Caenorhabditis elegans: one gene and its partner. The protein of the gene in region 2 interacts with the protein of the main gene of each other region in a pairwise test. Each region holds a gene or a part of one and is shown on either strand. Other genes may lie near its edges.

Region 1 (3,640 bases), on a different chromosome or scaffold from region 2:
TGACTGGAGCTACTGATAACATTTCCATTTCCACGTGTGGCAAGAAGACCTAAAAGATTTTGAATCTTGGATAACGAAGACTTGGCCAATTTTCTTTTCAAAAACATTGTTCTAAAAAAAAGGTTGGATAAACCTGTCCCAATGTTCCAATCATTCCAAAATGGCTCATCAGCTGTTCAATTCCTCGCTTTTCAACTGAGAAAATTTGATCATCACAAACAACGTCTTTTCGATAAAAAGTATAATCCATTCGTCGGCGGAACATGAGCGGAACCTTCAAGTTGTTTCAGTTAACCCACAAAAAACTTTTAATTTACAGTTTCAGTGAGACGGGTCGTCACATGCTCCAATTGGTGAGGTGCTGGTTTTTCATGAGAAAAATCAATGCTAAAGGACCGAGTACACGCCGATAATCTAGAAGTTGCTGCTGTGAAACGACATGTGAGCAACATCTGAAAAGAGGCGAATGAGCAAGTTAGTAGATTGAACTGTTCAAGAACTACGTGAAAAGGAAACTTCGCGGCCAATTACCATTTGTTTTGTAGGACTCTTAGACGGTATTCAATGCAGATCTTTCATTTGATTCGAATATACTTGGAATCATGTCAAAAACATATAGGAATACAATCAAGCTGAAGATAGAGCCGCAAAAATACTCGGCAGTGAATAAATACTTACAAAAACGGGATCGATTGATAAATGATAAAAATGACAATTATAACACACGGTGGGAATAATAAATTAGTATGCAACAAATTTCAGCTTCACAAGCTACTCTGCAGTGTTCTCGGGGTTGACTGCAACGTGTGCTTCAACATTCTCATCACCACCTTCTTCTTCAATTGCTCCATCCTCTTCTTCTTCTTCACCCTCCGCTTCTTCTTCAACACCATCTTCTTCTTCTTCTCCCATATCTTCCTCTTCTTCATCCTCTCCTTCTTGCCCATCCGCACTTTCATCTTGATCAACCTTCAGTGAATCACTTATGTTCCGACGAGGAATCCTTTGTCCATTCTGAAAATTGTTCAAAAATCCAGTAGCCTCATAATGGTGTTTCTAATACCTCATCTACACCGCGCTCCTCATTCAGAAAGTCTTCGATATCGTCTTCTTCAACTTCCTGCATGTCGGGCATCACGTAGTACTGCAAAGGATTGACGTACAGATCGTCTTTGATCACTTCAGCAATCTCATCACTGTCTGGTAGTGCTGCGTACGTGAGCCATTCAAGAAACGTGTGAGCTGAATCTCCGTCTTCCGGCTTCTGGAAGAGTTACATTGCGAAAGTTTTAGAAAAAATTCGATTAAAACAATAGGGATTATAAAGATAAACTCACGAATGGCGGTTTCTTGTTCTCCTTCCACTCGATTTCGGTAATTTCGGTGCTCGGTGACTCAGATTGCAGATGATACGACTTTGTAATTACTTCGTTTGTGAAGTACTCATTCGGGTCAAATGTCATAATTATTTTGAATCCACTGCGAAGATCTTCAAATTCTTGCACTTCAAGATCTCGCAGAGCGGCTAACAAGTCCTCTTGTTCTTCCGGAATAGCAGTTGAAAGAAGATGATGATTGAGAAAAGCAGTCTGCCAGAAATTGTCGATTTTTGTTGTCAGCTTCTTTCTTTTTTCATAAATCGGAAGACGTTTCTGATTGAAAATCTGCTCGACTTTCAAAACTTCTTCGGCAGCGTTTTCACTCATCACATCTAGTTGGTGCTGAATGGCGTCTAGTTCGATTAGCTTTTCCTTCACGGGACCAGCTACTTCGGATCGGAGATTTGGGAACTCATCGGCATTTTTCATTCGCTTTGCAGCCGGCTCTTCGCTCATATTTTAACTGAAAAAATTGAAGATTAACGGCAAAGAGAGCTTGTTTAGTAGAACAACAAAAGGCAGGGCGAGTTTGTAAAGCAAGTGTTCAACAGAATAAGCGCAAACGCACTGAAAATGCGCAAATAGTGTTGACTGGCGCATATTTTGAATAGAGCCTAGACACTTTTGATTTAATCAAGTGATTGATCAAGCTTACCCACAATTAACAGTTTTATAAATATCGACAATTTATGACCTAGTCAAGAACGCGAAGCTTAAAATTTAAAAAAATAAATGTATTATTATCGGTTAAACGGTTGGGAAAAAACTAATTAACATGCATGCATATAAAGTCTTTAAAACCGTAATGTTCTCATATTGAGAACAAAGCTAACTTGAATTGCAATATTATTTTGCTTTTTCATGGTACGTACTTAGATAGTTTTCGTGTTGGAACATATAACCTGATTTTCAATAAATTTGAAAATTGAATCGATCAAAAAAATTTACTACATCCTGCAATGAGGATCAAGAAGGAAATTTCGGATAAAAATTTTAAATGAACAAAGAAACGAAAGAAAAATACGTACGGGCAGTATCGGAGCCATTGAGAAGAAAGAAAGATAGAAAAAAAGAATCACAATTATGATCCGTGGCAGGTGCAATTTATTTTGAGATTGGGGAAGGGATTAGTGAGACAGAAGGCAATCGGGAACTCGAGCGGTGAAAATTGGAATACATTCAATGATTCGATGAATTACAATATACATCACAAGATTCGATATTAATTTCGAGAATTTAAAATGGGAATGGGCGCTTTTGACGATTGGGCCAAGTTTCTATGGGACAAGAACACGTCGACTAAAACTTATTATATTCACAAATGCACGCATTATTAGTTAGTATGGGGGACACGAATATTGAAAGTGTTTAAAAATTTGACAAATGTAGAGAAGTTGTTCACCACAAATTGAGATGCTTGGTCATATTTTCGGCCAATTGATCGAATCCTGGCATTGGAGAGAATGGTCCGTTACATGACATCATTGGATCAGTTGCGACAGATTTCATCAGAAGAGATTGAGCAACAGCAGAATTTGCGAAATATGCAGCAGCGGCAGCTGCGGATGCTGCATTGAGTGACGAAGAACTGAGATCCTGAGAAGGCGTGGATCCAGCAGATGAATATCCAGAAACTCCTCCAGGAGTATTTTGCTTTCCGAGCATTCCGAACGAGCCAGCATTTGGAGCGGAACCCAAAACCATCGAATCGAGTGGACTAGCTGGCCGATGTGCCATATTCCAAGCGTCTAGAGCAAACATCGATGGATCCAATGGCCAGCGAGACGGTGGATAGGTCATCGCACCTAAAACAGAGGTCATTAATTGCAACTAGCTGCCAATTTTTACCTTCCGCGTCATGCAATTCCTTCGTTGGTAGCTCATATCTTGGACCACGAGTACTAACAGGAGTTGGTCCTAGTGGCAATTTAGCCGCTGGCTCATCTGGAGTTGATGGCCTGGCAAACATTTCTAAAGGATGCTGAATGGCAGAAAGCGGGGGAGCTGCAATGCGACCATTAGTCATGATGTGCTGCTCCATTTGATCACGAATGTCAGCCAATGCATGGCGTTGAGAAACCTGAAAATGTTTACAGTGAGCAAAAATACATGTTTTCTTCTGACTTCAAGAAGTTTATCAGCGCGAATGTATGCGTTTGGTCCATGATCGGGATGAATGAAAAGGCACCGTTTCCCGTATGGGCAGAGTCCTGTAGTCGTATATTTGTCACAGAGTTTCGTTTTATACTTATTGTTCTGCA
Region 2 (4,972 bases):
TTTCAATAAAATTTATAAGAATTATAGACCATGTGAAATCTGGGTTCTATAATGTGAACATAAAATATGTTTTTTCATCAAAAAATTTGCCAATTTTCTCTGACTCTGGGCCACGCCTCTTTTGTGGGCGGGGGTACGACGCGAGACTCTTGATCAATTTCGCCCTGTTATAAATGTTTTCCTACTTATCAACTAGTATTGGGTTACTTCATATTTTTTCGAGTTTTTCAGAATTTTTAAAATGTGTTCTCAGAAGTTACAATCAACTCACCGATATCCGCTGATTGTTGAGCAACTGTTAATGAATTTCTCTGTGCTGGAATACAAATATGATCATTTACAAGTGAATCTCTATGAGCATTCCCATTTTGATAAGCTCCGTCAGATGACGTGGCAGTATGACCTAAATTTTTTCAATTAGATTATCGATTCCTTACGTGGTTTTCTTAGAAACTTGCCATTTTGTTCTTTGTCTTTTTTGCGGCGAAGTCGCCCGAGAAAACTGCTCATTTTTCAATATTTTATGACATTTTCTGAGTAAAATTTAGAAAATCGAGCTTTATGAAATAAATAGAAGGGATTTATTTTTGTCCACAAGAGGGTTATCAACTTCTGCGCACCCCCTGTCTGCACGTCTCCGTCTCTTTTCTCTAAAGCACACGACAAACGCGTCAACGACCACTCGAAGAAACGAGGCAAGAAAATATATGTCAGCTGCGACCTTTTTTTAGCGTTTAAGAAATATTTTCTTCAATATTCTGAGAGAAATTCAAACTTCCGCCATTTTACTACAATAGTAATTGGTTTTTTTAAATTCCAGTCGAGACGCAAGTTCCCAGAGTTGATTGTGTTCCTTTACATTCTAGCGTTTTTCACGTTTGAAGTTTTCAAACTATAGCAAGTATAAATGCTTGTGTGTCAGATTTTTTTGTAAAATATTATTGAATTTTTAAAATTTTACGAGCTAATTAGTTTTTTAGATTTTAAAAACCCTGTTTTTTAAAAAAACACATCTTAAATCCAGTTCTTTCCATAAAATAGCAATATTCCAGGCGAGACCAAGGTCAAAATGTTAAGTATGTTCCTTCAAAGCAACCGTAGTTATCATTCAAATTTTTTTTCGAATTTTTTCGGCTCTAATACTTTATTCCCATTTGTTTTTTCTTTTTAAGTGGGGTTTTTTGCAGAAAATGGAAACAGAAACCGCCACAACTCCAACAGGAAATACGGAACCCACCGCTGCAGCTTCCGCCGAACCACCAAAGTCAGATAAGGTGACCGTAAGGCTGAGGAATATCGCAGATGCGCCAGTTCTTAAAAATAAGAAAATGGTGGTGAATCCAACGGACACTGTTGCTTCCTTCATCTTGGTAAGAATTGAAATTCTTAAAAAATGTGAAAATAATATTATTTTCTTCCAGAAATTGCGAAAACTGCTGAATATTCAAGCCAACAACTCACTCTTCTTGTACATTGATAACACATTTGCCCCATCTCCTGACACCACGTTTGAGGTTAGTTTTAATTTGAAAAACTCGATATAATTTTATAAAAATCAAATTTTCAGACGCTATCCCGATGTTATTCTGTGAAAATCACCGATAAGGAGATTCTGGAGCTTCAGTACAGCATTACACCGGCCTACGGATGAAAAACATGCGAAGCGGGATTTTTTAAATGTATTATATGTACTTGATGTCACAATAAATTCACTTATACCACAATTTCATTTTTACTTTTCAAAAAAATATAATATGTTTTTTCAAGTCTTTATCTACTTGCTATCTCCACTTCTCAAAGAAAGTAACAGGAAATAAATTTTAAAATATTTCAGATCTCTAGATAAAAGATAATGAGCAAGGTAAGTCTTAGAACTTTTTTAAACTGAAAAATTGAATCTCAAATTTAAGAAAATCGATCACGATGAGGATGATCGAGATTCGTCGGAATACGAGGAAATGGATGATGATGGGGAAGAAGCTGAGATTGATATGGAGCAACACGAGATGATTTATGAAAAGGATATTGAGCCGGTCGAGCAGTTTCAGCAGGAATATATTAGTGATCAGGAGCCAACTTCGAGCAATCATGAAGAAATTCCTGTTAGCATGAAAATTGACTACGAAGGTTCATTATTTATAGAACTACTGGAAAAATTGAAAAAAATCAAGTTTTGAAGTTTCCAAACATTTTTTTGGGAAATTGAAAATTTGATCTTCCAGGTCCAATTTATCTTTTGAAAAACTTTTAAAATTTGAGAAAAATCAAATTAAACATTAATTTTTACAGAAGTCTATCCACACAACGCCGTTCAAGTAGACAATGCTCACGAAATGGTTGAAGCTGAAAAAGTTTATTACGAGAATGAAATGGAAGATCTCGTTTATCATGAGATTTACAGAATTGAAGGCAATCAGAAACAGGAAAATTATAAGAGTATGTGCATTTAAAACTGGAATTTTGATTATTTAAAAAATCCGGTTAAAATTGCTAAAAAACGAAACAAAATTCAAATCTTTGCGAAAGGAAATCCAGAAAAAAAAATAACATGACCTTGAAATTTTCAGGAATCCGAAATATAGTTGGATCAAGCGCCTCCTGTCTCGTCTGCCAACGTTCCGAATCCGAAAAAATCCGTCTTTTCAAGTGGCCAAAATCAGAAGAACTCAAAGAGCAATGGTTACATTTCTTTCGGCTTCCAGCTACAGTACTTCAGAGTGCAACACAAGAACCATATATCTGTTGTTATCACTTCTCAGCCGACACTTTTGTCATGGTTAGTTGGAATTCTACGAATTTCATGAAAAAAATTATCTCAAAGCACGGAATTAAAAAAAAGAAAGTTTCTCCAAAAAAAAACATCAAAAGACCCATTTTCGCCAAAAACACAAAAAAAAACCAAAAAAGGCAAGTCCAACGATATTGGGAAAATTTGAATTTGTGAAAAAGTTTGAATATTACAAAAAAAGTTTATAGCAGGAAATTTTTTATTTTTCAAGCGAGTTTTTTGAATTTTGAATTTTTCTTTAGAATTAATATTTCTTTTCAGATCGATGATCGAATCTTCTGGAAAATGACCGCACTTCCAAAATATCGACAACGTCGTCCGGGGCTCGCCGAGCCATTTCCATGGGAGCCCGCTGTAAAGCATAAAATGGAAATGATGCAATCAACCGATACAACCAACAATTCTTCAGTCGTCGAGTACAAAATTCGCTATCGAATGCCTTTTAATAAGCATAAAACACGAAATGTTCATCAAGTTGCAGTAATGACTCCAGTTGCTCAACCACATTTATATTATGAATTTCATTTTAATCGATATGGTTTGAATAATACGAAATTCTACGCGTGTTTGAGTTGTCGAAAAGCAAAAACTGAAAGTGGAATTCGTGACGTCATTCGGACAATTCATCTCGATGGATATAAATTTTTGAGCAATGGAGATCCATTTAATGGACATCATTTTGCATGTAGACCTCATAATGTCTACGATTACAAGTATGTTTTTTCTTTTAAAAATATGAATTCACAGGATAAAATTCGATCAATGGGTCTTGGCAAAACATTTTTCAGCTACCGTACCCATGACAACGGTAGATTTGCAATACTTTTTCTTAAAACGTTTTTCAGTGATAATGTTGGAGAAAATTATTTTATTCATTTTTTCTATGTAATACAGGGAAACACTTCCACAATTTTAATTTTTATTTTTTAAACCTCCGATTGTCAAGAGAAAAGAAAATCTACCGTAACCGGAGGGTACGGTTGCCATAAAGTTTCAGTCGGGGCAAGACCTGAATTCAGATTTGAGTACAAAAATCGTGGCGAGACACGCCGAGGAAACATGTTTGCGTTTTTAAAATAGGCTTTCAAATCGTTTCAAAAATGACAATATACTTTAAGCATTTGATTTTTTTCTGATTTCCTAATCACTTCTTTTCAGATCATCTTGGCGTCCAGTTCCCGGTCAAAATGGAGAAGCCAATTTTCTCGATGAGGTTGTCTACGTTGATGAGGGTGGAAATTCCCTGGAATGGCATGCCGTGACCCGTCCCGGAGACAATCGAGAAGTTGAAGCGGTGCATGAGAAAGAGGATCCGCCGATTATGATGTATGATGGTAATTTCGAAGATCCCATCACCGAGGAAGTGATCGAAACGAATTATGTCTTGGATGAACCACCTGTACTATATTCCCAAGATCCGGATCGCAAGCCTAAGCCATCGAAAAAGTCCAGAATAAAGTGCCATCTATGCTTGAAGACCAGCTTTTCGTCAACACAAAGTCTGGTTGATCATCTTCAAAAGCACATTCTCGATGAGAAAGAATGCAAGCGTTGCCAGAAGCGGATCTCGTGTGATTCAAGAGCAATATGCATTCGGAGAGGTGTTTGCGGGAGTTGTTTTGTTGTTTAGATTTTCCTTGTTTGCATTTTTTCAAATCAATAAATTGTTGTTCGTTCGAAAAATATATTATAGGATTGAGAGAGATAGAGGAGGTCTTGCTGTGACAGCGTGAGAGATCTAGAAAAGAAATGAGCTGGGCCCATACAATAGAAAGCTTGTGTAAGAGAAGAAATTGGATTAGAAAATGAAACAATGATTTGGAAAGTTCATCTAATCACTGTCATCATCTTCATCGTCGCCTGCAGCGGCCGCGTGAGCTCGATTGACTCTCTTGGATGGTCCCTGGGCGCTCAATGTCTGCAGAAGGCTTGTTTGACGACCATCACAGGCGACCACTTTCAGTCTGAAATATTAATAATTATAGATCATCGAGAAACAAAAATTTTTATAGAAAATTAATAAACAATTGCTTTTTTCTAGATTTTTTATTTTTAATACAAATAAAAGAAACACTCACTTATCAATAGGCTCATCAAACGATCGCTGGGGATCTTTCAACGTGACATTATTGAGAATAAACGTCCAAACGTTATCACAATATCGATAAGTGAGCAGTTGTGTCG

The links.
Region 1: the proteins of B0336.7 (region 2) and spr-2 interact in a two-hybrid assay, tested with the Caenorhabditis elegans proteins (2 studies listed by BioGRID).

The regions. Positions count from the first base shown.
Region 1 is NC_003282.8:8,889,670-8,893,309, reverse strand, and holds spr-2 (Suppressor of presenilin-2), read right to left. Parts: upstream 1,849-3,640; 5' UTR 1,836-1,848; coding exon 1,338-1,835; intron 1,265-1,337; coding exon 1,064-1,264; intron 1,015-1,063; coding exon 772-1,014; 3' UTR 567-771; downstream 1-566. Other genes in the region: C27B7.2 (Phospholipid scramblase), read right to left, coding at 1-49, 134-274, 318-452; CCCH-type zinc finger protein oma-1, read right to left, coding at 2,778-3,184, 3,228-3,459, 3,504-3,640.
Region 2 is NC_003281.10:5,694,229-5,699,200, reverse strand, and holds B0336.7 (THAP-type domain-containing protein), read left to right. Parts: upstream 1-1,834; 5' UTR 1,835-1,852; coding exon 1,853-1,861; intron 1,862-1,907; exon of another isoform or gene 1,908-1,910; coding exon 1,911-2,127; intron 2,128-2,289; coding exon 2,290-2,436; intron 2,437-2,567; coding exon 2,568-2,776; intron 2,777-3,049; coding exon 3,050-3,501; intron 3,502-3,946; coding exon 3,947-4,418; 3' UTR 4,419-4,472; downstream 4,473-4,972. Other genes in the region: Regulator of G-protein signaling rgs-5, read right to left, coding at 272-403, 459-510; lgg-3 (Ubiquitin-like protein atg-12), read left to right, coding at 1,191-1,370, 1,422-1,514, 1,568-1,651; B0336.13 (Transcription initiation factor IIA small chain homolog), read right to left, coding at 4,620-4,752, 4,867-4,972.